Mytilus edulis: one gene and its partner. The protein of the gene in region 1 interacts with the protein of each later gene in a pairwise test. Links are inferred from orthologs where the notes say so. Each region holds a gene or a part of one and is shown on either strand. Other genes may lie near its edges.

Evidence for each region. The genes of interacting proteins can lie anywhere in the genome.
Region 2: the proteins of zinc finger TRAF-type-containing protein 1-B-like (region 1) and ubiquitin-conjugating enzyme E2-22 kDa-like interact in a two-hybrid assay, tested with the Drosophila melanogaster proteins (2 studies listed by BioGRID). The link is inferred for Mytilus edulis from reciprocal best matches to the Drosophila melanogaster genes CG32486 and Ubc4.

Annotation. Positions count from the first base shown.
Region 1 is NC_092348.1:55,174,918-55,179,425, forward strand, and holds the start of zinc finger TRAF-type-containing protein 1-B-like, read left to right. Parts: upstream 1-1,542; 5' UTR 1,543-1,637; coding exon 1,638-1,838; intron 1,839-4,112; coding exon 4,113-4,351; intron 4,352-4,508.
Region 2 is NC_092351.1:24,261,690-24,265,289, forward strand, and holds the start of ubiquitin-conjugating enzyme E2-22 kDa-like, read left to right. Parts: upstream 1-1,082; 5' UTR 1,083-1,400; coding exon 1,401-1,463; intron 1,464-3,496; coding exon 3,497-3,600. Other genes in the region: ribose-phosphate pyrophosphokinase 2, read right to left, coding at 811-989. UniProt on the Drosophila melanogaster protein: Catalyzes the covalent attachment of ubiquitin to other proteins.

The sequences.
Region 1 (4,508 bases):
TCAGCGATACAAGAACACCGGCGTGATAAAAAACAAAACGGTTATACAGCCAAAACTGTTTGAGGAATCCTTACAGGAATGTTAGCCATTTAATAGTGAATTATGAATTATTCGTATATTGTTTTATTATCTGGAAAACTATAATTGAAGAAACTGTAAACAGCCAAAAAAAAAATCTCACCAATACAAGAACTACAGTGAATAATGACCTTAATTATTCTTCACTGACTTCATGATAAGCAAAGTATTACTTTTTGTTCAGAAATTAATATAAATTTCAACCAATGATTAGAATGTTAAAAAAAAATAGTTTTTATACCAGGGGAGGACACTGAAAAACAATAGAAGACGAAACTGATAAAAGAAGCATATGCTATACGTTTGACTATAATTTTTCTAACATTCACATCAACTTGCAAGAATATTCATCATGTTGAATGTTGGCGGTATTTGGAAGAAGAAAGAAGAAGAAGATTCTGATCTTTGATTGATAGGTTGTCTCATTTGCAGATTTGCAAAAATACCAAAATCTCCTTAGCTTTATAATTATAATTTAGATGACTCTGTGTCTTACAACACATTGTGTTTAAAAGAAGAAAAAAGTTTAATAATATACAGCAAAACATTATAGGTGAAAATTTAAATATGTTTGGCTATGCACTGTAAATGTAATATAATGGTAATATGATTTTAATATGACCCAAACGATTGGATGACACCTTATCTGTCCTTACTGAATTGCAATTTTTGGCTAAATATCATTTGTTTGCCCTTTTTCTTGAAAACTATTAATGTTAATTAGAATCTGTACAGAAAAATGAACAGCGATACCATACAGGTAGAATAGCTGAAGACTGGTAGGTCAGGAACATACTATTAACTGTTAAATCCTATGTCTGAAAAGGAATTAAAATCTATTTGTATGTATATTGAAGAAGCTCTTGATTTGAGAGACCACCATACCGTTTCACCAGATAATAATCTTTTGCATTAGTTTGTGCATATGCATATATATATATATATAAATCTTATATTGTGTGTTTTAAGTAAATATATGAAAATCTAGAATAATACTGAAATATAAGTTTATGGTATCAATATCAGTTTATAATGTATTTGTATACATAGAATTGGCTCATGACTTGTTACATGAATCTTTATTTCATTTATGTGTTGTTTTAATATTATAATTGTCTGTATTTGGATCACGCCTCTATTGTGCTCTTTCCAATAAAATATTGAATTGAATTGTTAGATATACTGTTCCCAGAGTAGGTCTATAGTATACACATTCTTGGTCGCAAGTTTATGTTTGTTTGATATTGGATTTTTTCTATTTTTTTGTTTGTTTTTGTTGTTGTGAAACGCCAAGGATATGTATAGCACTAAACAAAATATCTTGTCACATAATATGTTGTGAAACCTTGAATGTATGTACCATGTATACAGTGCTTTCAAGTACTTTGATCCGATACTGATAACCGGAAAGTTACGAAGTTACTCGATGAACAAGGTTCGTTTCATTGGTTATCGTTGACGTCATGTTTAGACAGATCACATGATCAAAACAGCAAAACGTCAACATCAACAAACCTCAATCGTAAACAAACCAGTGACCCAGTGACAGCTGAAACGAAATGTCTGACATACCAGGACCATCAGCCCTTGCTATAATGGATGAAAATTCCAACAAGGAAAACATGGACATATTTTATGAACCTGAGAAGAAGAAAGTCAAAGTAGAGGAGAAAGAAAAAGAAAAAAATGCCCTCGAAAATCGCCTTTCCGGAATCTTGTGTTGCGCAGTTTGCTTGGACCTGCCCAAAACCTGTTACCAGGTATGCATTTTTTGTTTCATTCGAATTATCTATTTTCATCTGAATTTGCTAATTTTGGTTTCGAGTATATTAATCACCTCAATAAATATGTATTTCACTGATCGGATATTGCATCATAGCCATATATGGTCATGTCTGCCAACAAATATGCAGAAAAATTTACTTGGAACGGAACTTTTATACCTTAGCAACAATATGGCATGAAACAGAAATTCTGATTTATTGAAATATAAATGTGGCGCGTACGAATGCAATAGAATATGAGAGAATCAGCTCAGGGATTTGCCCAAACACATCTGTCAAAACCAGCTGTGACCTTCATGTTGACCCAAATTATCTCTGACATTGACGGATAGCATGATCACATGATCAACATAATCAGTTGTCCACTTGGCAAACTGCCACCTCATTTAATATGCATATGTATCACATATGGTTTCCCATAATATGAATGAAATATCATGGGAGCAAATCCATATGTAATTCATCGATGCATGAAGTTCACCCTCATAACATGACAGCAAAGTCAAGATAACACAAGATACTACTGATATACACATGAAATATTACATACATGTACATAATTTGATAAATGTTCCCAGGTGTACATTTTGTACATGTATATCTGTGTGTTAAAAGTTATCAGGTACATAATTAAAGAGGGGTCTGGTGGGGTGGTGTCTAATCACGATTCACCAGTTGATTTTTTTGTCAATCACAATTCACAGGAAAACAAATTTCAATGATCACGGATCACCAATTATAAATTTTTTTTTGTAGAAAAACGTATCACGATAGCGTAAATGTGCCAATCACAAAGAATGAAAACCCATCAGGCCCTCTCATTAAAAACATAGTAAAATTATATGTTTTTAATGACTTGCTAACTTTTTGTGTTCATGCAGGTTAGAAAAAAAATACCTTCCAAAAGATATAAGACATCAGATTCAGTGGCCGATCCAGGAATTTTCATAAGTAGTTGCCAACTGACTGCCGTAGAGGGGGCACGCTCGAGTCATACTTCAGTAATTCTCTATACTGTATAAACAACCATTTTTTACAGAAAAGGGGGGCGAGGGCTGAGATTGATTCAAAAACAAATCTCTTAAATATTGGTACATTGCAATAGGAGGGTGATCATGGGGATACCTTCATGAATAATAACGGTATTAAGTTTAACAATAATTTTTGGTGCAGGACAATAAAATGTACGCTTTGTTTTAGCAAAAAAATAGTCTATTTAAGACAAATCACATTTAGTTTTATTCAAATATATCAGTAATGATAATTATTTGAGACCTCTGATGAATCACAATATATATATTTTGACAAATCACTGTAAAATTTAAACCAATTTGACACTAAAGGTACCCAAAAAAGACTGTTTGAAACATGAGGGTAAAGGGCATTCCTACCATCACGTACATGTAGGTTGTACATTTCTACCAACCAGTCGGCACTTCATTGTTTATTGCATTGGTTGTTTGTTTCACATTATCAGCTATAGTGTTTTCCATTAACATATAACATGTACATTTTTAGCTCACCTGGCCCGAAGGGCTTAAAAATAGAACATACATGTAGGGGTAAAATGTAGATTTTGGCTTATAACTCTGAAACCAAAGCATTTAGAGCAAATCTGACGTGGGTAAAATTGTTTATCAGGTAAAGATCTATCTGCCCTGAAATTTTCATATGAATCTGACAACCGGTTGTTGGGTTGCTGCCCCTGAATTGTCAATTTTAAGGAAATTATACCGTTTTTTGGCTAAAATCTTGAATATAATTATAGATAGAGATAAACTGCAAACAACAATAATGTTCAGCAAAGTAAGATCCACAAATAAGTCAACATGACCAAAAAGGTCAGTAGACCCTGAGTTATTGCCCTTCATAGTCAATTTTTAATAATTTTGTAAATTTTGTAAATTTTAACAAAATTTTTTTCCTCTGTAACTAATGGGCCAAGTTCATTATTAATTGAGATAATTGTAAGAAGCAAGAATGTTCAGTTAAGTAAGATCTACAAACACATCACCATCACCAAAACACAATTTTATCATGAATCCATCTGTTTCCTTTGTTTAATATGCACATAGACCAAGGTGAGCGACACAGGCTCTTAAGAGCCTCTAGTTGTAAATCAGAGAAGTTTTATCTTAATAAGTTGTCCATTTATCAAGTTGTTTAAAATCAAGAGATTTTTCATGCATTAATGATTTAATTTATTACTATTTATAGCCATAAATTGCATAAAGAATTATCTTATTTTAGTGTACCAATGGTCATTTGATGTGTGCTGGCTGTATCAATCACGTACTCGCTGATTCAAGACTCAAAGATGAGACAGCAACCTGTCCCAACTGCAGATGTGAAATCAGCAAAAACCTTTGTTCCAGAAACCTGGCTGTGGAGAAAGCAGTGTCAGAACTGCCAACAGAATGCCAGTACTGCTACTGCCATCTACCACGTAACCAGGTTGATTATCATGAACGAGAATTGTGTGAGGAGAGGTAAGACGATGCATCGTCATCGTTAACTTAATTAAGTTTATTAGTTAAGATACTATCACTTGCTCAAGGAGCAAGCACGCGCATGGATGCTGGATCATCCGTACGGGTGCTTCTCCGCTTTGTATTTATACTTGTTAATAATTGGAAACACACTTTT
Region 2 (3,600 bases), on another chromosome or scaffold:
AAGTAGAATTCTATATTTGCATGAGCTTGCGAATGCAATATATGTTCTACGAGGGACAATATTCCCCAATATACACCTTATCGCTATTTGTCCGCCATTACTGGATATCACACAGGTTCCCGTAAAATTTTGACGTCATAAAACAAAATGTCTGACGCCACAATGGAAAAGTGATTGTTATTGACGTCAAAAGTTCAAGCGGCTGGGTCAGCCGGGATTAGCGATAAGGTGTATTCATGCAATAACCCTTTTATTGTATAGCAATATAATATTAGAAAGTTAAAATTGGTTTAAACTAAGATTTTGTCGTTGATGACATCATTAATTTCAAAGATTTATTACTCTAGTGCAATATTGGAATTTATTGCACGCTAACTTTTGGATACTTTCTGTGGGAAATATTATATTGCTATGCAATAATGTGATATATTGTGTATTGACATTTTCCTCTATGTGAATGGAGGTGTGCCTTGATTGGCAGAACTACGTTAACAGAATCAGAAACAGAATATGGTCGAAAGAACTTGATGAGAATAGACCAAGGGCGACCAGAAACCTATGTCTAAGCCATGATCCCACATAATTTTACTCACATTTATAATGAGAAAATCATTGGAAATGCCTAGTAATTTTTTTAAACATGCAAATTAAAAACCAACTTTCAAATCTCATCATGTGTAACAGCTGTCTCACATAAGAAATATCAACTCTAAAACCTAATTTTCAACGAGTGTCACTATTCAGGTCAAATAGTCTGTTGGTGCCCCATGGGCATGGATACAAAATAATGATAAAATCACTCATGATCACCTGCATTCACCGTTGCTAAATTTTTTGGTAACAACTTTGCCTTGTTCTATTCCAAGACGATCGCAAATTTTCTGTGCAAGATCAACATGAGAACTTCCACTAAAAACCTTAATGTTAGGCATTCTTCCGAAGTCTGTCAAGCTTTTTGATTCAGAAATTTGTTTACGAATACCCAACATTAAACACGTTTGGCCTCAGGATGCATGTGAGTATTTTCATTTCTACGCTTGGTTGTAACGGATGTTACTGTAAAGCGTGAACATGATTAAGACAACTTGACCCTAAGATTGACCTTATATGACCTAATATATTTCAACGAAACGTAGAAAATAGTTAACTTCAATGAAACATTAGCGGAATTATATATAATTCTATCTTATTTTATCGCAAATATATTTAATTCAAAAATTTCCGTGATTAAAGTAAAAAGTTCAGTTTTGTATTTAATGCGCAACTTTCCATGTGCTCACTTCCGGAACAAGCACTGTTGAAAAAAACATTGAAAGTGTTACTCATCCCGTTTAAAAATTAATTCTATTGATTTATTTTGCCCTTAACTTGTGATTGATGTAACATTTTGTCTTGTAAATATGGCCAATATTGCTGCTGCTCGAATACAAAGAGAATTCAAAGAAGTGGTTAAAAGTGAAGAGGTACAGACTGCTATGTTCTTTGAGATATATTCCATCTATAAACAGCAGATTTATTTCATGATCACACCGACTCCAAAAGCCAATCTTTATCATGAAATGGTTTCAATCTAGAACCATATATTTACTGATTTCATCATGGACTTATCATTTCCTTATCAGGACAGAAGTGAATATGAGTTATGACCAAGACATTTTAACAGGACAACCTGAAGGAGACTATTCCTAGTTACCTAATTTCCTGATTGATGGGTAACATCCCCAAATTCATGGTTAATAGCTCAGATCACTCTTGTCATTGCCATTGATGCTAAAAGTTGTGAATTTTGGTCTGATGGCAAAATTTCTACATCACTATTTAGTATTATTCCCAGTTTAATAAGCATAATTATTTCATACTCAACTTTAAAAAGAAGATGTGGTATGATTGCCAATGAGACAACTCTCCACAAGAGACCAAAATGACACAGAAATTAACAACTATTAAGGTCACCATACAGCCTACAACAATGAGCAAACCCACACTGCATAGTCCGCTAGAAAAGGCCCTAAATGACTTATAACATGTAGATTGATAATAATAATAATAATAATAAATTCTTTATTTAAAGAGGGTAAACTCAGTTAGTTACAATAAACTAATCTTCCTCACCAAGGCAGAAACCAATATGGGGAAATTGAGTTGACTGCAATAAGGAATGTTCCAATAATCACCTGTACAGGCTTATTTTGTGTGTGACTTGCTTTGTAGAATCTGGGACGGTTCACCTTGATTTATGCTCACTCTGGGTCTGACTACCCCAATACCAATGAATATACACATTTTATTTTGTATTCTGTATCATGTCACTTAATTTATAGTATAGAGGTTTATTTAAAAGTTAACTTTCACACATAATTTGATATTCATTTTAAACAAAACAGCATGCATTATGAATAAGCATGATAAGTAAAAAAATAAAAGTTACGTGATTAGCATGATTAGTGCAAGCTATCAAGGTTAAACTCTGAACAGGTGTAAAAAGCTTATGCATCTATTTCCCATACAGAAACATGATAAAAGAAACTTGCATGTAAATAAATGAAAAATCCCAATGTCCTACATGTCCTAGCTATATACAAACAATTTGAAGTACAGACTTTATTCTGGCAAACTTTACAGTTAAACTAATTGTTCTGCGCCTCTGGGTGCATGGGATGTTTTGATTGACAAATAAAAAATGCTGTTGTTGTAAACAGTCTTTTATCATTTGAACTACTCCTGACAGACATGAAACAATGACAACCACTAAACTACAGTAAGCCACATATAGAATTTGGCAGGGTTAAACATGTTTGGAGGTGCCAATCCTTCTCTAACCCAGGACAGCAATGTAACTGCACAACACAGAACAAACTTAACAAATAAAACTAAAGGGAAAACAAATGAGAAAACAAAAAACAATAACTACTCAATTACAGGCTACTGACAGTCTTTTGAAACATGTTTATCAGGCATATAAAGAATGTTGCATGGTTAAAAAGGTGCCAATGCAACCCTCAATTAACCTGGAAAAGTAATGTACAATGTAACAGTGCAACATAAAAACAAATACTTAAAATCAGTTGAAAAAGATCTAGATCTTATTACAGTGTTGAATTGCATTTGGCAACCTTTTAGAATAAGATATTCAACATGTTCTAAGGATTAAATAAGTTTACCTGTTGTGTTTCTGCACTCTTACAGTGAAAGTTACTTTACCTAGACTCAAACAAATATTTTGAAACTTAAACACATTGGTTTTTACCACCAAACACTGGTCATGTTCAAATTTGAGTGGCATCACTTGCACTGTTCATGTCCCTTTATAAATGAAAAAAATGTAATTTGTTGTATATTTACAAGCCCTAGACATCTGTCCTATGGATATATTCTTCATTTATTTAAGTTTAACAAAAATAACATACAAGTGGAAAGTGATAATGAGTAGATTTTACCTTCTTACAAATATCTAACATACATGTATAACTAAATGCGTTTATCTTTTATAATCCAGGTGGAACGCTGTAAGATAAAAGTATCACTGAAAAATGATATGTATAATGAGTTAGAAGGGACGATAGCAGGACCTCCCGACACACCATATGCTGGAGGAACATT